Sus scrofa: one gene and its partners. The protein of the gene in region 1 binds, or shares a complex with, the protein of each later gene. Links are inferred from orthologs where the notes say so. Each region holds a gene or a part of one and is shown on either strand. Other genes may lie near its edges.

Region 1 (6,109 bases):
ACTGAGAGGACCTGAGAACAATAACACCCCGTACCAATGAGCTGGCCTAGAGCCCAGACCTTGATGTCTAAATATCATTCTCCAGTAAGAGGAACCAGTCTCCTTGAATTTGGTTCATTCCAGGCATGGGGAAGAGAAAATACAAGATGAGCCTGGAGCATCATGCAGTGTTGAAAAGAATGGTATTTATTTATCTTTTTAAAAAAGAGGGGGGGCATGTCAAAAGACCACAGAAGTCAGCCTGAAGGAGTCCCCAGTGGCCAAAGCTGGAACACTTTGAACAAAATACAAAATGCGAATTTATAGTTCTAGATGATAAGCTATAAAATAAATATCCATGAGTCCATAATAAATAATATATACTCAAATGATATACTATATATTCAAATAAATGATAAATACGTATTCAGGTTAATGAATACATAAATAAATGGGAGAAGGGAGTGAAAGCTCTTCCTTAAAGAAGAATTCCAGTTAGTAAACATAGAAGGAATAAAGGTCATACAAAATCCCCATTAAGCAAACATTACAGTAATGATTTTTACAGGCAGTGGCTGCGGACAGAGTCTAAGATCAGTGGAGAAATGTGACAGTCACCACCTTAATCACGTGAGGAAGGTTAACATCACCAGTAATAACTCACAGCAGCCCGCTGTGCCTGTCTGATATGATGCACCAGGAAGGCTATAATGTCACTTCTGTGGTCTTCCTATCAAAAATGCATAACTCCAATCTAATCATATGTAAACCGGGAACTAACCCAAACTGAGAGACATTCTACAAAGTAACTGGCCAGTAGTCATATCAAAAGAGTCATGGTCTTCAAAGACAAAGGCAGAATGAGACACCACGACAGATTAGAGGAGAGTAAGGAGACACAGCAGCGTGAAGTGGGATCCTGGAACATAAACAAGGCATTGGTGGAGGGTGTGGGGGGGGAACCTGACGGAACTGGAGTAAGTTCTGTAGCTTAATAGTTTTGTGGCATTGTCAATAGTGCTGTGGTTCACAGCAGTGGTGCATTGTTAATTTCCTAGCCTTCATCATTGTGCTGTGGTTATGCAAGTTGTTAGTATTTAGGGGAAGCTGGGTCAAAGGTATCCATGAGTACTCGGTACTGTTTTTCAAGTTTTGTGCAAGTCTAAAATTAGTAATAATAGGTTAAAAAAAACAAAAATAGCTAAATAAGGACATGAAATGAGGAGTAGCGGGCAAGGAACCCAAGATAGAAGCTGTCCCATGGGTCCCCGTAGACATGCCCGTCTTTCTGTATTCTTTTCCCCCATTCCAAGGAGGGGCCAGGGAAAGCACAAGGAACCCTATCTCTGGCCAGTGTGATTAGATCACCACAGGGCTACTCACCTGGGCTCCCGTTCATGGCAGACAAGGTGCCAGGTGCAGAGAACTTGGCGAGGAAGAATCAAGCATGTGTCCTCAGAGCTCACAGTCTTGGGGAAACATCTATAGAGCAATAAGAAGAACAACTGAATTCTTTTAATAAGCATGTGCCAACCACTTATTCCATATTCAGAAGCATTGGAAGATTAGAAAGAAAAATGCAATAGGATTTGTAACATCTACCTGGTCCCATCCACCAAGAATGGTAATTATGTCTTTGTAGAAAGCAGCTTTGGGTTATAAAGATAGGAAATTATCAGCATAAACTAGCTTCAGTTGAGAGATTTCTTATAAAGATACAGGTAGTTTCTCTAAAAAGTAAAGTCTTAAAAAATAAATAGTTTTTAAAGTGAAATAAAAAGATACAGAGAGTTTGAGGGAACATATTTAATCCTCATTAAAACTAGCAAGTTGTTAAGTTTCCTCCTCCCCTCTACACCCGCCTGCTCTTCTTATTCTTCTCTTTCCTCTCCCTCCTGCAGCACTGTCTTAGAGATGGCCACACTCTCCTTTGCAGGAATGACAAAGAGAATTTTCCACTGCCTTCTCTATGGGAGGAAGCTCCCAGAACGCGTAGCCCCTTCTGCTTGCTTTCTAACTCCCTCCCACCAGCTAAAGAAGTTCCTTTTAATCAGTTTCATTTCCAAGAGGGTCAAGAGCCCTAAACTCTCACCTAGAAGAGCCTGACTTCCTGGTTCCCACACCGTGTGCCTCCTTGTCCCCCTCCAGGAAATGATGGACATTGTCAAAGCCATCTATGACATGATGGGGAAATACACATATCCTGTGCTTAAAGAAGACACTCCAAGGCAGCACGTGGACGTCTTCTTCCAGGTAAGAGCACACCCCTTGTGCGTGAGCTTTAAGCTCGATTTAGATCAGTCAGCCCACAAGCATCAAACCGTCAGTCACACCACCATGAGCTGTGGTTCATGTCCAAGCCTGTACTACACGAAGTAGGAAACAGAAGAGAACTACAAGATGTATTATTCTCCAGGAATAGATTATCTCATTGAACAGGCAAGTAGGCAGTACAGAAGAGAGCAAGGGAGATTGTTAAGTATAAATAGTAGAGTATGGACTCTAAAGTTCCATAAAAATCATTGGGAGAGCAGAGTAAACAGAGAAGGTGTATGTCACCAAGCACATTTGTGTAGGTGTGAAGCATTTGTGTCTGGGGAGTCAAAGGAAGTCAGGTAGAAACTAGGGTGGGTTGGATTATGAGATCTTTTAATTGACTGAGTTTAGCCTTGCTCTGGTAAAAGTAGGTGGGGCTGTTAATCCATGAATAGAAGAGATTTTTTATGCTAGAAAAAAAATTACCCTAGCAGGAGACCATCAGAGAATGTTAAAGCTCATTCTGGTCTAATCCTCTCACTTTGCAGATAGGAAAAGCAGAGGCTCACTCACTAAGATCTCACAGTAAGTGACAGAGACAAAAGTAGAACCTCTCATGTCCAGTGTTCCTTCTGCCAAGTGGACAATCTAGAAGTGAGACTAGGAAAGACATTTTAGGGTATTGGCAAAATAATCAGATGATGAGAAGATGAACATCAGAGCAAGTTGTGGGGATTTTTTGGCAGGGGGGTGGGGAGCCCATGGCATGCAGAAATTCCTGAGCGGTGGATCAAACCCACACCACAGGAGTGACAATGACAGATCCTTAACCTGCTGAGCCACTGGGGAACTCCTAGAGCAAGTTTTTTAATTTGATGGAAGCTCATAGGGGTCAAAGTGCTATAACAAGGGCCTAGGTGGAGCTGTCTGGCCTGTGAAAGAACATCCTAATTCTTGGGGGAACACTGGTTATCAAAAAGCAAATTTTGGAATGCAGATTACCAGATTCTTTAAAATGCTTCTTGTTGTGTCTTTCAGAAAATGGACAAAAATAAAGACGGCATTGTGACTTTAGATGAATTTCTTGAATCCTGTCAGGAGGTAAGGAGAGAGTTCAGGGCACAAAACCTCTAAATCTGAGAAAGAAAATCTGTGCTAGGGACCTGCAGGAGGAGAAAATGAGAAACCTGTAATCCCCTAGGTTAGTATTAGCGGAAATACTAACTGGCTGCCACTACCAGTACCAACACCAGTAACAGCACAAAATTCCACCCATCTCCACTGCTCAGGCTGGCCTGTGGCAGGTCTCAGCACAGGCTGAGCCACACAAAGACAGGGTTACACGGCGGGGGTGTGAAAGCCCAGAGGGGGTCGCTGTGAAACTACAGACCTCCAAGTGGGCAACACTGTCATTTTACAATCTGCTTCGGGCTTGATGATCCAATTCCCAGACTACATGGGAGTAACTGGGGGAAAAAAAAAAAACTAAGCTCTGATTCTTAAACCATAATGTGCATAAGAATTGCCTCAGATGACTGGAAATGCACATTTCCAGGCCTCCATTCCAGAGACTCTCAGTCTGGGGTTGGAATCTAGAAATCTTTGTTTTGTTTTATTTTATTTTTAGGGCCACACCTGCGGCATATGAAAATTTCCAGGCTAGGGGTACAATCTGAGCTGAGCTACTGGCCTACAGCACAGCCACAGCAACACCAGATCCAAGGGGCATCTGTGACCTACACCACAGCTCACAGCAATGCCAGATCTTTAACCCACTGAGCTGAGTGAGGCCAGGGATTGAATCTGTATCCTCATGGATACTAGTCGGGTTCATAACCTGCTGAGCCACAATGGGAACCCCCCTAGAAATCTTCATTTTAACACAAGTGCCCTGACCAATGCTTCTGAAACTTTAATGTACAAACCAACCTCCTTAAAGCTCTTGTTAAAATGCAGACTCTAATTCAGTAGGTCCAGAGTGATGCTGATGCTGCTAAAGAATAAACTGGCCCCAGAGTCAGCCAGAGACTGAAATGGAAATAATTGCTTTCCTCTAATTTAAAAAATAAAATGCATTTATACCAATACCTTGTTTCTGAAAGGTACACTGTTACTCTATGCTCCACCCGATAAGAACTGCAAATGCAGGAAAGCAAGGAGGAAGTTATTAACATGCAGTGAGCATCTACCAAGTTTTAGGTACATTATGTAAACTTCACAACAACCCTGAGAGGCAGAGGCAATATGTAATCAAAATATTTAATAACTAGAATAGACTGAGAATTGATCATTCTTAACTGAGTTTGCCCAATGCCCCAAAGCAGTACCCTAGAGAACCTCTGCTAAACTTGGCATTAACCTGGGAGTCGACGGATCTTTGGGTAGTCCTGGATGAGTTACTAGGTAGCCAGAGGCAAAGATGCTGGAGGAGTGGCTCAGGTAAGCAGCTATTTACTATTAGGGTTAGAAACATTTCTACTGTTTAATCATTATGAACTGGCTGCCCATCAGTATTCATTGCACCCATTTTAAAGAAGAGAAAACTGAGGTGATGCAAGGTTAAGAGATGTAGCTAAGGCACACTAAGTGATAGAGTTGAAACTTGAACTTCATTGTTCTAATTTTAAATACCATGCCTTATTGTATTATGCTTTTTTGTTTTTGTTTTTGTTTTTTTTTTTTTGGAGTGTGTGTCTTTTGTCTTTTTAGGGCCTCACCCGAGGGAGATTCCCAGGCTAGGGGTTGAATCCAAGCTAGCCGAGGGCCTACGCCTCAGACATGGCAATGAGAGATCTGAGCCATGTCTGTGACCTACACCACAGCTCACGGCAACACTGGATCCTTAACCCACTGAGCGAGGCCAGGGATGGAACCTGCATCCTCATGAATACTAGTCAGGTTCATTAACCACTGAACCACAAATGGGAACTCCAGCTTTTTTGACTTTGATTAACAGTTTTTAATCAATTTACTTTCTCACATTAGCAACTTCTAGAGCTATTCATTAATTAACTTATTTCTTTTTCACAACCCACCCTATAAATAAATAAATTACAATCTAGGCAGGCTGATTTTCAAACCCATATACTTTAATTGTGAGATAGTTATACCTCCCTGTTCTAGAAACTTTTAAAACATTTCAAATACCCAGATTCAACTTTATCTTCGTTGATTTTCTCTACTTTAGATCTGCTTTCTATTTCATTTATGTGTGTTCTAAATTATTTCCTTCCTTCTGCTTTTTTATTTTTTTATTTTTTTATTTTTTTTTTTTGTCTTTTTGCCTATGTCTTGGGCCGCCTCCGCAGCATATGGAGGTTCCCAGGCTAGGGGTCAAATCGGAGCTGTAGCCACCGGCCTAGCCAGAGGCACAGCAACTCGGGATCTGAGCCGCGTCTGCAACCTACAGCTCACGGCAACGCCGGATCGTTAACTCACTGAGCAGGGGCAGGGACTGAACCCGCAACCTCATGGTTCCTAGTCGGATTCGTTAACCACTGTGCCACGACGGGAACTCCCTGCTTTTTTATTTTAATTAAATTTGCTAGGTTTTATTTCTAGATTTTTGAGATGGAGGTTTATATCATTGATTTTCAACCATTCTTTCTTTCTTTCTTTCTTGCTTTCTTTCTCTCTCTCTCTCTTTTTTTTTTTTTTTTTTTTTTGCTATTTCTTGGGCCGCTCCAGCGGCATATGGAGGTTCCCAGGCTAGGGGTCCAATTGGAGCTGTAGCCACCAGCCTACGCCAGAGCCACAGCAACACGGGATCCGAGCTGCATCTGCAACCTACACCACAGCTCACGGCAATGCCGGATCATTAACCCACTGAGCAGGGGCAGGGACTGAACCCGCAACCTCATGGTTCCTAGTCGGA
Region 2 (6,109 bases), on another chromosome or scaffold:
AATGCTGGATCCTTAACCCACTGAGCAAGGCCAGGGATTGAACCCACATCCTCATGGATACTAATCGGATTCATTTCCACTGGGCCACAAATGGGAACTCCCTCTAAAGGAAAATTTTTATTGAAATAATTGTAGATCCATGTGTAGTTATAAAATGACCACATCCAGAGCATAGATGTTGCTGCAGTTCACCAATACTATTCAGACTTTTGCTTGTCGTGTGTGTGTGTGTGTGTGTGTGTGTGTGTGTGTGTGTGAAGCTTGATACAGCTCTGTCACCTGTGCAGGTTCATGCATCCGCCACCTCAGTCAAGGTACCACAACAGTCAGTTCCGGCACCTCAAGGATCCTTCTCATCTTTTATAACCAAACCCCCAGCACTCTGCCACCGCCCCATTCCTAACCCCTGGCAACCAGTTATCTGTCCTCCCTTTACAAAATGTTGTCTTTTTTCTTCTTTTGCTTTTTAGGGCTGAACCTGCAGAATATGGAAGTTCCCAGGCTAGGAGTCGAATTGGAGCCGCAGTTGCTAGCCTACACCACAGCCGCAGCAACGCAGGATCCGAGCCATGTCTTTGACCTATACCACATCGTAGGGCAACGCTGGATCCTTAACCCACTGAGTGAGGCCAGGGACCAAGCCCACATCCTCATGGATATTGGTCAGGTTCATTACCACTGAGCCACAATGGAACTCCAACATGTCTTCTTTTTTAGTTCTTTTTTTTTTGGGGGGGGAGAGCTGTACCCATGGCACTCAGTCATTCCTGGGCCAGGGATCAAACCCGCATCACAGCAGTGACAATGCCTGATCCTTAACCCACTGAGCCACCAAGGAACTCCCCTTTCATTCTTTAAATGGTATATCCATGGGCGTTTACAGTAGCTAAGCTTTAGGGACTGGCTTTTCCATTTTGTGTAATTCCTGGAGATTCATCGGAGGCTGTGCATCAACAGTCCACTCCCTGTCCTTGCTGAACAATATTCTGTGGTATGGACGCATCACAGTTAAGTTTAACTGTTCACCTGTTGAGGGACATCTGGTTATTATAAATAAAGCTGCTAACATTCGTGCACGGGCTTTTGTGTGAATGTAAGTTTTCATTTCTCTGAGACACATGCCTGAGTGCAGTTGTCCGTGTTCCCTTTCGGCTTTTCCATTTCTCCCACTTCCCTCTCTGGCAGAGATGGCAGGACTCACAGCCCAAGGGAACCTGCCAGCAGACAGCGAAGAGGTTCATCGGGAAAGTCTTCTCAGGCACAACAGAATCCTTGAGCTTAGGAGTTCCCGTTGTGGTTCAGTGGTTAACGAGTCTGACAAGGAACCATGAGGTCGCGGGTTCGATCCCTGGCCTTGCACAGTGGGTTAAGGATCCGGCGTGTCCGTGAGCTGTGTTGTAGGTTGCAGATGTGACTTGGATCCCCCGTCGCTGTGGCTGTGGTGTAGGTCAGCCGCTACAGTTCTGATTAAACCCCTAGCCTGGGAACCTCCATATGCCGAGTGAGCGGCCCTAGAAAAGGCAAAAAGACCAAAAAGTAAATAAATAAATAACATAGCCTGGAGAGTTCCTATTGTGGCTCAGCAGGTTAGGAACCTAGTTAGTATCCATGAGGATGCAGGTTTGATCCCTGGCCTCGCTCAGTGGGTTAAGGATCCAGCGTTGCCGTGAGTTTCGGTGTAGGTTCCAGACTTGGCTCGGATCCTGCATTGCTGCGACTGTGGCCTAGGCTGGTGGCCATAGCTCTGATTGGATCCCTAGCCTGGGAACTTCCATGTGCAGCGGGTGTGGCCCTAAAAAAGCAAAAAAAAAAAAGAAAAGAAGAAAGAAAAATTAATTTAAAAACTGAACTTCCCGTGTGGCTCACAACATAACCACTCAGTGTTGCTTCTACAGTGACTGTGGCTCGACCCCTGGCTCGGGAACTTCCATATGCTGCAGGTGCAGCCAATAAATAAATAAATAAATAAACAAATAAAAATACAAAAATTAACAAGTAAAATAGTCTAGATGATCTCCATGTTCCTATAACTCTCACACTGTGCTCCTGGCCACAGAAGAGAGGGAGGCTGATCCGTCCACACAAGGAGTGTGCTAACGTGGCTTTATTAGCACAGTGGCTTTATTAATGTGACTTTCTCACCAACTGTGTAGGACCGTCCTCCTTCCTGGGCCGTCACCAGCCTCACCTGAGCATGCTCTGTAGGAAGCTCTGTGCTGGGGGCTGAAGATAAAAATATGCATAAGTGACGGGCTCTGGCCCTCGGGAGCTCAAAGTCAAGCCAAAAGTCCTCACCAAATTACACATGCGGGGTATGGTTCTGTAAATACGTGGCAAACCTCTTTATCCTGTGTGGGGGGGAATGATTAAGCGATATAGGGCATTTGATATGACAGTCCATTGCTTTAATAGAGCCCAGGGTAAGATAAGATTAAAAGAGGTGCCACAAAGGCAAGCAGGAGAATCTTTCATCTCTAGAAAGTAATGAAGACAGACCCCAGATACAAGAAAGGTCTGCCTCTAAGTGGTGCGATCAAATTATATACGGCGATAATGAGCTTGACACAATTGGATTTCCATATGCAGCTCTCAACACCCAGGACTCAGCCAAAGCAATAACGGCTCCATCCTCAAATGCTGAAGCACTGGCTTGAATGTAGACACCCGGCTGAGGGGAAGGCTGGAGCCGGAGTCCCAGGGAGGAGAATTGTCTGGACCTTGAATGCACGCTCTTGGCTCCTCTTGGCTCGGAGGGAAGAGGAGCGACGGGGCTTACTCGCCCTCCTTTCCCTCCCGCTTCCTCTGCTCATTCTCCAGCCGGAGGTCGTGGGCTCCTCTTCCAGGCTCCAGCGCTGATCTTTTCCCCATATTTAGAAACCGGGGAAGGTCCTTGACTTGTCCCTCCAAGGACATGCTGACCGCAGGGGGACTTCTCCGGAAACAGTAAACAGAGTGTGTTCTCTGCGCTTCTGTTGACGGCCTGGATCCAAGTCCCTGGCCTCCTTTTAGCAGATGAGCCAGCCAGCAGGACCCTTGGAGGGGACGCTTCCCCAGGCTGGGGAGAAGGTGACAAGAAATGGAAATTGCCACCATTTTCCAAGGGCCCCTCTGTGAGAGTCCACACTGAGGTTAGATGCAGACTTTCCCAGAGGCAGGAGGAAGCACCTCTCTGCCTAGGAGCGGGTGTCGGGGCAGTCTGCGTCCACGTGGGCACCTCTGCTTCCAGGAGCAAGGGAAGCTGGCTCCAGATCAACAAGAGCCCAGATGTTAAGGCGCATTTTTTTTTTCAAACCAGCAGGAACCCCTCTATCTGTCCCTTCTCCCTTCCTCCCAAAGCCTCTTGCCTCTTGGGCCTCCCTCGGTGGTTGTGCTGCTGTCATGGTGACACTGATTGCAATTATTAGGAAGGAGAGGCGAAGCCGGCATGTGCACTGTGTCCCACTGCCTCTGGCAGCAGGAGCAATACCACGCAGCCCTCCCGCAGGACACCGCTGAAGGCTCCCAGGGATGGAGCTGGGGAGAAGTCCAGGTGTCCCAGCAGAGCCAGGACGGTGTATGGACGTGCCCCATCCTCCCCCGCCTCCCACACACACGCACTCCCACAGCCATCGCCCCAAGACAAACAGACATCGACACATCCGCGCCACTCCCAAAGACAGACATGCCATGCCGCTGTAAATTCCTTTATTGATTCACAAATTGTTAGGCATCTGTGAACAAAACAAAACTGCTTCCCTCCAGGAGTTTACATTCTGGGGGCGGAGAGAGACGGTAGCAAGAGAAACATAAAACCTACTTACGCTACCTTAGTAGTGGATGCTAAGGGAAGAGGGGGACGAGGGGAAGGGGCTGAGGGGCGCATATACACGCTCCTTGCTTTTCTCAAAATTAACTAGTTTTGGGCATCTGCTGTGTGCGGGGAGCTGGCACTGGACCCTCGGGGAGACAAGGAGAGCTCTGCCATGTGCTCCTTTAAGGCACGTGCACTGCTGAGCCGATGGGGTCGTGAGATCTGGGGACGGAGGGAGGACTTGGATGCGTGATGTCTCCCTGGCCGGGATCACACCCAGGCTGGAGAGATGAGTGCAAACCCGAGGCACTTTGCCCAGGACTACGCTCCATTCCCCGGGTTGAAGCCTCTCCATCCAGCCCCAGGTCTATAAACAGAGATCCCGTGGCTGAGGAAGCCGCTTCCTCCCCCTCATCCGACATCCCCTGGGAACCTGGCTTCTTCGGGACAGCCCCCTGTCGCTGGCTTTGCCAGGCTCACTGTCTTTTTGTCTCTTGGTCTCCCTCACTCTTTCGTGATCTCTGCCCATCACAGAAGGCCCGCCTCGCCAGGATCCGTGTGGCCAAAACAGGCAGCTCCAATGCCTACCTGCACAGCAAGCGGAACGGACTCCTCAACGAGGCCCTGGAGCTGATGGTGGGTGCCTGGAGGACCTGGGGGGGTGGACAGGCTTGCCTTCTCTTCCTGGGGCCACCAGCACCCCCACCCCAAAGCCCCAGACTTGCCCTGGGGCACCAGCTCCTCCACTTACCTCTCCCGGAGGAGACCAGCTACCCCGAGATCAGCTTTAGCTCAAGGGTCCCCGGCCCAAAGTTAGCGTGTTCGAGGGTGACCCTAAAATTTGGTTCATCTGGATTTTTCTGGTCCCTCCCACCTTTTGTGGAGAGAAGGGGCGCTGCCCGCTTTATAACCTGGGTCTCTTCTTTTCTGCCCAGGGCACCCCGGAAGAGGAGCACGTGGGCAAGGCCACCTCGCTCATCGAGAGCCAGCACCATCACCTGCTGCACTGCCTGGAAAAAACCACTGTGAGTCCCAGCCCAGTGCCGCCTCCTGTCTCCTCCCTGACCCTTGACCCTTGTCTGAGGTCAGAACTGACAGAGTGGGAACTCGGTACCCCATCCTCAGCCTGGGCCCAAGCTTCAGAAGTCAAAGTCCACCCCCCTCAGATCCAAAGAGCAGCGATGAGGTCCCTCTCAGCCCCCAGGAGGAAGAGCACAAGGAGGGGGACAAAGTCACCCTGGTGGGGAGGCCAGCCTGTCCTGCGGTGGCACAGAGGAGGCTGCTCCCCCAGGCTTTCCACTCTGGCTTCAGTCCCCAGAGCCCATTTCCTAGTTCCCGAGGCCTGACCTCTGCCTTTCAGTTTCTCGGTTCTGATGGGCGCTGCTCTACAAAACTAGGGCTGCACTTACACAGATTGCTATGGACGCAGAGAAGGCTGTCCATTTTTGTCCTACCCCCCGGTTAGGGGAATGCAATCTGTGGGTCCCTTTGCTCCCTCCATTCCTCTTGGAACCGGAGGCAGTGAATGAAGAGGGCAGCACATGTATTTCTCTAGCCAGGGATTTTTGTCAGCGCCAGCCCATCTTAGCCACCCTGCAGGTCCTGGGAATTCGATTCCGAAAGGCTTATTGTCAAAATAGAGTCATGGGGAGTTCCTGCTGCGGCTCAGTGGGTTAAGAATCGACTGCAGTTGGAGTTCCCGCTGTGGCTTCGTGGAAACGAACCCGACTAGTAGCCATGAGGATGCGGGTTCGATCCCTGGCCTCGCTCAGTGGGTTAAGGATCTGGCGTTGCCATGAACTGTGGTATAGGCCACAGATGCACCTCGGATCTGGCATTGCTGTGGCTGTGGCATAGGCCGGCAGCAATTCAAGTTGCTGCGGAGGCACAGGTCCGATCCCCAGCCCAGAACAGTGGGTTAAAGGATCCAGTGTGGGTTGCAGCTGCAGCTCGGATTCATCCCTGGCCCAGGAACTTCCATATGCTGTGGGTGGGGCCATAAAAAAAAAAAAAAAAAAAGAGCCTCGTGGCTTAGGGGGCCACAGCTGGAACGTGGCATGATGCTTGTGCCTCACTGACAGACTGAAAGGAAGGGCAGTGGGGGCCACCCTGGACCCTTGGCGAAAAGTGTTAGGAAGAGGCGGCAGGGCGGGAAGGCAGGCTGACGTCCAAACGGAGCCCAAGCAAAACTCTTCCCTCCCTCCCTCCCCAAAGAGCCCACGGTCAGGGCTCAGCACCCACGGAAGGAACTTTTCTCATTCTGAGTGTTCCCTGTCCTGGCCTCCCAGATGTGGGCAGAATAAAGAGATGTTAGGTGAC
Region 3 (6,536 bases), on another chromosome or scaffold:
GTATGACTGCTATATTTCATCAGGATCATTAATTAGCTCAATTTCCTGAAAATTAAAATTTTCAACCTCAGTGGAACTTAAGTATTAAAAGTAACTCCCATTTTGCTTCCAAGTTCTGAGAAAGTGTATATATTTAATTCTTCTTACATACCAACATATAGAAAATGTAGGCTAAAACAATTTCATAGATTTTACTCAGGTATTATGATTCAGTTTCTTAAATCATTTCAAAAAGTAGATGCTTCTAAGGATTTTACTTATATTATAAAAACTGTCTTTAATGGCTAACATTTCCTCATTTTTTTCCTGAAAACAAAAATAAACTTCAAAATAAAATGAAAATTTGCAAGTCCTTTCAGAAAACAAGGTTTAAAATAATACTAACTTCTCATGTCTAGAACTTCCTAGCCAGGTAAAATTAGCATCGCATCAACATTTATTTTAATAATGTCTATATTCAATCATATAGAGAGTATAGTATTACAATGACTTACTGATACTTCACGAAAAACTCTGCCACAGACACTACATTTTTAAAAAACAGATCTCCTTTCAATTCTCTTCCTTTATTTCCTCTTAACACAGGTTCTCTTTTAATTCATGTGTACTTCTAATTTGAAGTCTTGATAATGATTTGCACTATCCAATTGTCCTTAATACAGATTTCAAATGACATAAAGACAACAAAGACCAAATATATACACACAAACCTCTTGGTTAGATCCAAGTACCTACATTGCTAAGGTATTTTGCATATTCTTCAAAATGTGTCACAAAATTACCAACAAGATAAAAGGGAAATATAAGCAGCAGGACATAGAATTTTCACTAATTAATTTTTGAAAAGCCACCAGTAGGTCTTCAAAAATACATGAGATGAGATCAAACTCATAAGTCATTATGTATTACTTTACCATAATTTCTTAATTAACTTAGCCAAAACTTCTTCACATATAAAATATTCCATTATTGGCCATATGACAACATGAGAAATTCTGTTCAACACAATATGTCTAATAAAATTAAGTTGACTTTAACCATACTGTCATTTAAAGAAGGCAATTAAATTAGCCAGAAACACAAAATTTAAGAAGCAGCCTTGGGTATAACTTTTTTTCTTACAGCCATTACCAAATCCTCATTGAACTGATTAACTATGCAAGAAAAGCAGCACAAAGCTGAAAAGGACCCTAACATCACTACCTGGCTTATCCAAGAACTCCTAACAGTAAAAGGCTCTTACCATTTTATTTTATTAGATTCTCTAATATATAAATGCTGCTACTTTGCTGCACTTTTGATTAACATTATTAATAATTTCATCTTTCTTCAATCATCTAGAAATCTTCATTCTAGCTTAAATTTTATTTTGAAAAAACCACATTAATACAGAATGTGTCCCTTGGTTGCAGAACACCATTCCCACCGAATAAAATAATGAAGAAAAGAATTCTAGAAGGAAATAGGCTCCCAAATTCTATAATGCAAACAGCACTTAGTGAACATCAAGAGATGCTGCTATGCCTTCTATGTGTATTTAGTGGGCATGAGTCCATTGCCTGATGGGATCTGTAGTTTCTTTAAAAAAAAAAAAAAAAAAAAAAAGCAGTGTATGGATAGCAGTCATGTGCTTCCTTATTTGAAACTATGAACCTAGAATCTTAAATATGTTGCAAATATCATTCCACTGCATTTTGTAGAGTTGATCAATTTCAGCCCTGATATTCTAAAACACTGCATAATTATCAGCCATAATTAAAATGCATATGTATATGAATATGTGCATATATATTACAAAATCCTTTGGTAATATCTATAATCTACGTTTTAAAATGCTGTAAAATGAGAATTATGGTTCTCAGATGGAAAAGGACTGCCAAAAGTATTCATATGAAAATAATACTTCAAATATACATGTAAACTTTTCATTGCAATACACTAAAGCACTTTCTAGGCATTTCAATATGTAGTGTGTATTTTCATACCTTTACCTGGACAGAAATTTTGTGTTTTTCATTCATTATATCTTTATGTATTTGTACATCTAATATCGAGGATCATTCCCTATATTCAGGAATTCTAAAATTTCTTTGCGTATTTATCACTTTCAAGCATCAGTACTCAACATTTGCCAGCAACTTCCTAAATACCTCAATCACTATATCATACTCATTTCGCCCATCAAAAGAGTTCTTCAAAACCATCTCGATAATACCTTCTTAAACCCACTTAAGAAAGAGAAGAATTATTTCCTCTGAATAATTACATAACCTTAATGGGTCCACAACCACTTCATACGTAATCAACCTCCACCCCGTTTCCCTTGGTGGCACCTACCCTAGTGTTGTCATGGTGACGATGGTGTACCAGAAGGCAGCAGGGATGCTGGTGAACTTGCTGGCCGAAGACCCCTTCTCTGCGTAGAACATAACTGTAGCGAAGATGATGATAGCCATGGTGAGAGAGAAGAGCAAGAAGCCCAATTCCGAGGCACAGCTCTTCAGCGTGTACCCCAGGATGCGCAGGCCTTGAGAGTGGCGGGAAAACTTAAAGATCCGGAAGACCCGGAAGACTCGGAGTGTGACAAAGGCGCCACTGACATCCTCATTGTCCGTCATCACCAGCCCGATGTAATAAGGCAGGATGGCCACCACGTCGATGATACTCATGACGCTACGCACAAAACGGTAGCGACTGGGTGCTGCCGCCAGGCGAAGCAAGTACTCAACCGTGAAGATCATGACGCAGGCTGTATCCAGGCAGAAGAAGGCCACCGCATACCGTTCCCCACAGGGCAGTTCTTTAATGTGACCGGGACTAGACCCACACGGCACTGTTTCTACCACATTAGCGATGACGGACACAGCAATGAAGAACCCTGTGACATAGTAGAACACCAGGGCCATCGTGCTGGTGTGGGGGTTCTCAAACGCCCGCCAGACCCTCTGCCGAGCCGTCATAGTGGGCAGCGTGCTCTCTCCGGTGTTGTCGGTGTCAGCATCATCTTGAAGACGCTCCGCGTTCTCTCGCCTCCGATCCTTGTACTCCTCATAACAGCAGTCGCCAATAATTTCTGGGATGAGGCCAAAGAAGGCCAATTCTTCATCATAAGCTGAGATGCATTCATGGCGAGGATAGTGGAGCTTCCCAGTGCGGTAGAAATTCAGGATGTGGCGGAAGATGTCTGGGTCACGGTCAAAAAAATACTGCTGAGTCTCTGGATGGTAGAAAAAGTCCCTCTCAGAACTGCCCAGCAGAGTGTCTGGGTAACGTTCCAGAGTGTCCTGCCATGTCTGGAAACGGGTGCCACTCACATTCAGCACAATTAGGGCATCCTGAGTCCTTTTCCTCTCCTGCCTTGGGGGAGCTGGCATGGGCCCCGAGGCCACAGGCATCCACCCAATGGCCGCTGCCCTTGCAAAGGGCAGCCACGCTGCTACCCCCGCCGCCATGGTTCCTTCAAGTGGAGGCCAGAAGGGCACGCAAGCCTCTACAGTGGGTCACTCAAAGTAGCCACAATCACCCACTTCCTCCCCTCAAACAAATTACTAGTGAGAAATGTGGTCCAGAGAGATCACCCCTATTCCAAGATAGGGCTCCCTGGTGAAGTCACAGTTTGCAGAAGGGCAAGCTTCCCTCAAAGACAGGTATTTGGAGTAACAGGGGAAAAAATACAATGTCCTCAGAATCACCCCGACGGAACCTTATCAAAGCTTTTCCAGCAGTTGGACCAGGCCACCCCTGGCACAAATAAGTACAAATAAGATGACTTTAGATACCGCAATTTCTTCAAACAGGTGTCTTTGATTTCTCCCCTGACAGTCTGGATAATGTGGGGTCAGTATGTGTCGTGTAACAGAGAAGAGACGAAGGACAGTCAGTGGTATTCTTTTGACGAATTAGAGAGCCCTTCCACCTTCCCTTTTAGCTGTTTCAAACCTTCCCTTTCCAAGTGGCCCTTCCCGCCAAAGGAGTCTCAAAGAGGCGACCTGTTGTTGTAGCTTCCGAGATGCGGTCACAGCCGCTGCCCCATGTCTCTTTGGGAGCCGGTCGCCGTCTCTACTCCTCGGGCCGTATTTGCAGAGGTGCTGATGCTGTGCTGTGGGCACGGCTGGGGGGCGTTAATAAATCCTCCTTCCCTCCATCTACAAGCACCCCCTGTGTCAGCCAAAAACGTTCGCCCAACCTCCCCTTGACTCTCTTTTCAAGTTCAGCTCAGGTATAGTGCGGCAGTTACAGAGCCCGGGAGCTGGCAGCCGCCGCGGCAACGGCGGCAGCAGCCTCTGCTTCCGCGTAGAACGCGCCTCGCCCGCGGTACATACCTGGCAAAGTGCGCGCCGGGGCTGAGTTGCATAGAGACTTTCTCCTCGCCGTGCACCCGGAAAGGGAAAAGCCCAGAAAGCAGCTCGCGAGCAGCCGAATCCGATGCGCCGGGGGAGCATAAATAAAGCTCAAGCGAGCTCTTCTTCCCCTTCCCCCATCCTTCCGTGCCTCCCTCCTCCTTTTCACCTTCCAAAAGCCAGGCGCAGGCTAGCAGAGCAGCAGCAACAAGTTCAAAAGGTGCGGGGGAGGCGAGAACGGAGGGGACTAGCTCCTGCCAACTTACTGCGCCGCGGCTGTCGCCCGGGCCCGAGCGGCGCGGTGCGGGGTTGCGGGGCTGCGGGGCTGCGGGGCGGCCGGGCGGGCGGCGGCGCGGCGGGGCCGGAGCCGGGGCGGGCGCGGGCAGTCACCCGAGCGCGGAGGCAAGAGGCGCTCGGCAGCGCGGGGGCGCGGGAGGGCTGCTAGCTGCTTCCCCGCCAGTGGGTGGTCCTGCATCTCCCCGGGCTCCCCGCACCGCTCTGCTCGTGCGATCAACAAATAAGGAGAAAATAAATAAATAACCGCGCGCACGCCCCGCCACGCGGGTTATGAAAGGCGTCTCCTGCCTTTCCCTCAGCTTGACCTTTCTCCGCCCCCGCCCCCTCGGGCTCCTCTCGCTCCACCCCAGCCACCCACCAGCCCCGGCGCAAAATGTCACCGAGGGAGAGCATCCAGGTGGATCTGCCGGGAGGAGAAGGAGCTTCGTTGAACAAAGGGAAGCTTGACGCGCTCGGCTGCGGTGGTTTGGTGGAGGAGAGGAGGAAGGGGACCGGTGCCTTGCTTCTGCCTCCCTGGGTCCCGGTTCAAGGCGAGCGTGGGAAAAAAAAAAAAAAAAAAAAAAAAAATAGGAAGGGAAAAAAAAAAAAAAAAAAAAAAAAGCGAGAGAGGCTGGGAAGGAGGGTGAGCGGAGCGGAACGCGCAGGAATTGGTTGTCTTCTGGGGTCTACCGGGTAGCAAGACCTGCAAAGCCCCACGGCGGAATTTTTAAGTGCTTTTTCCTCTTTCTTTTTATTTGTTCAGACCAGATGTTAACGTTGCAGAAGTTAATATGTCCTCGGTCCAACTTGCGGAAAAGTCAGACAGTCTCCTTGGTCTAGGTTTTTCCACAACTCCTTTTCCCGTCCTTTGCAAATGACAGGAAGGATTTAGAACCCTTTTCTAAATGTCAGCGTCAAGGGCCGTGTGTCTCCGTAAGTGTGTGTCCCCTTCATTCTCCCTGCATATGTCTGCGCACATCTACAATGGTTAAAGTAGTTAAAGGTGTCCCTGTGAGGGGTAAGTGATGCGAGTGACTAGGAAATTGTCGCGGCCAACCGTTTTGTTTTTCGTGTATCCGGCCAACCGTTTTGTTTTTCGTGTACCCCGCCCCCCAATCATTAGGAATCTTCCTTAAAACCAAACGTGTAACATTTATAACCACTAGATGGCGAAAACGGCGAAAAGTTAAATCGACATCTCAGGTTTGGACGCTTTGGAAAGGTGAAGGATCAAAACTGACCCACCAGAGCATCAGATCACATAAATATCCTCAAATCCACTCCCCACTCCTTTTAGTATTTATAGGAGGTATATTAGTCAGGCCTAAGCCTGCATTTTGATGGATATGAAATGAGACGTGGAGAGTTTCTGTTGAAATGCCTTTTAAAATTAAATCTAGATCACTGAGTGGTGGTAGTAGCAGTACTGGTAATGATGACGGTAATAATAATAGTAATAATATAAATAAGTGTTTGAAAACAGTAGCGCTTCATATATGTTGATGAAGGAGAGAAGCCTAATTTCTATCTGAAAATTACCTTTTCAAGGCTTGGTTTTACTCTTCTTGGTTTGTAGAGTGGCTGTGTATAGTCGTAAATTGAATTGACTTTCAGGCCCTAAATATCTTAGGCATAATGTGTCCACCTTAAAAATTTGAAATAGAATACCTCAAAGAAAAGATGCGAACTAAAAAACGGCATATATAGAAAATCACCAGAGAAGGAGAAAAACAAACCTTATAATGCAGAAGATTTTCTGCGGAGATGGAAAGATATTTTTTGTTTGTTTACTTGTTTACTGATGAAGAGGCTTAGGGAATCCCAAGTTAGTAGTTAATGGAGTCAGAACTAAAGCTCCACGTAAGTTTGAGAACAGAGAACTGAAGACACCCACTGTTTATCTGTTTGTGTTAGTTGAGC

What was found.
Region 2: the proteins of KCNIP1 (region 1) and KCND3 are in contact, whole or in part, in a crystal structure (PDB 2NZ0), measured with the Homo sapiens proteins. The link is inferred for Sus scrofa from reciprocal best matches to the Homo sapiens genes KCNIP1 and KCND3. Residues at the interface, in NP_001030009.1 of Homo sapiens: Leu67, Arg69, Gly70, Phe71, Glu74, Val80, Phe85, Ile88, Tyr89, Phe92, Phe93, Tyr101, Leu105, Phe109, Phe122, Ala125, Leu126, Leu129, Leu130, Leu138, Trp140, Thr141, Leu144, Tyr145, Ile161, Val162, Ile165, Tyr166, Met168, Met169; in NP_001365898.1 of Homo sapiens: Ala6, Ala7, Trp8, Leu9, Pro10, Phe11, Ala12, Arg13, Ala14, Ala15, Ala16, Ile17, Gly18, Trp19, Pro21, Val22, Pro26, Met27, Pro28, Leu29, Ala30, Pro31, Lys34, Lys36, Arg37, Asp39, Trp54.
Region 3: the proteins of KCNIP1 (region 1) and KCND2 are in contact, whole or in part, in a cryo-EM structure (PDB 7E8E), measured with the Homo sapiens proteins. The link is inferred for Sus scrofa from reciprocal best matches to the Homo sapiens genes KCNIP1 and KCND2. Residues at the interface, in NP_001030009.1 of Homo sapiens: Thr60, Arg62, Glu63, Val66, Leu67, Arg69, Gly70, Phe71, Asn73, Glu74, Phe85, Ile88, Tyr89, Gln91, Phe92, Tyr101, Leu105, Phe109, Phe122, Leu126, Leu129, Leu130, Lys137, Thr141, Leu144, Tyr145, Val162, Ile165, His185, Phe189; in NP_036413.1 of Homo sapiens: Ala2, Val5, Ala7, Trp8, Pro10, Phe11, Ala12, Arg13, Ala14, Ala15, Ala16, Ile17, Gly18, Trp19, Met20, Pro21, Val22, Ala23, Ser24, Gly25, Met27, Ala29, Pro30, Gln33, Arg35, Lys36, Arg37, Thr38, Gln39, Asp40.

Annotation. Positions count from the first base shown.
Region 1 is NC_010458.4:53,275,233-53,281,341, reverse strand, and holds part of KCNIP1 (Kv channel-interacting protein 1), read left to right. Parts: intron 1-1,362; exon of another isoform or gene 1,363-1,461; intron 1,462-1,581; exon of another isoform or gene 1,582-2,121; intron 2,122-2,127; coding exon 2,128-2,232; intron 2,233-3,273; coding exon 3,274-3,336; intron 3,337-6,109. UniProt on the Homo sapiens protein: Regulatory subunit of Kv4/D (Shal)-type voltage-gated rapidly inactivating A-type potassium channels. Regulates channel density, inactivation kinetics and rate of recovery from inactivation in a calcium-dependent and isoform-specific manner.
Region 2 is NC_010446.5:108,606,524-108,612,632, forward strand, and holds part of KCND3 (potassium voltage-gated channel subfamily D member 3), read left to right. Parts: intron 1-4,324; coding exon 4,325-4,426; intron 4,427-4,725; coding exon 4,726-4,815; intron 4,816-6,109. UniProt on the Homo sapiens protein: Pore-forming (alpha) subunit of voltage-gated A-type potassium channels that mediates transmembrane potassium transport in excitable membranes, in brain and heart. In cardiomyocytes, may generate the transient outward potassium current I(To).
Region 3 is NC_010460.4:26,619,583-26,626,118, forward strand, and holds the start of KCND2 (potassium voltage-gated channel subfamily D member 2), read right to left. Parts: upstream 4,629-6,536; 5' UTR 3,453-4,628; coding exon 2,338-3,452; intron 1-2,337. UniProt on the Homo sapiens protein: Voltage-gated potassium channel that mediates transmembrane potassium transport in excitable membranes, primarily in the brain. Mediates the major part of the dendritic A-type current I(SA) in brain neurons.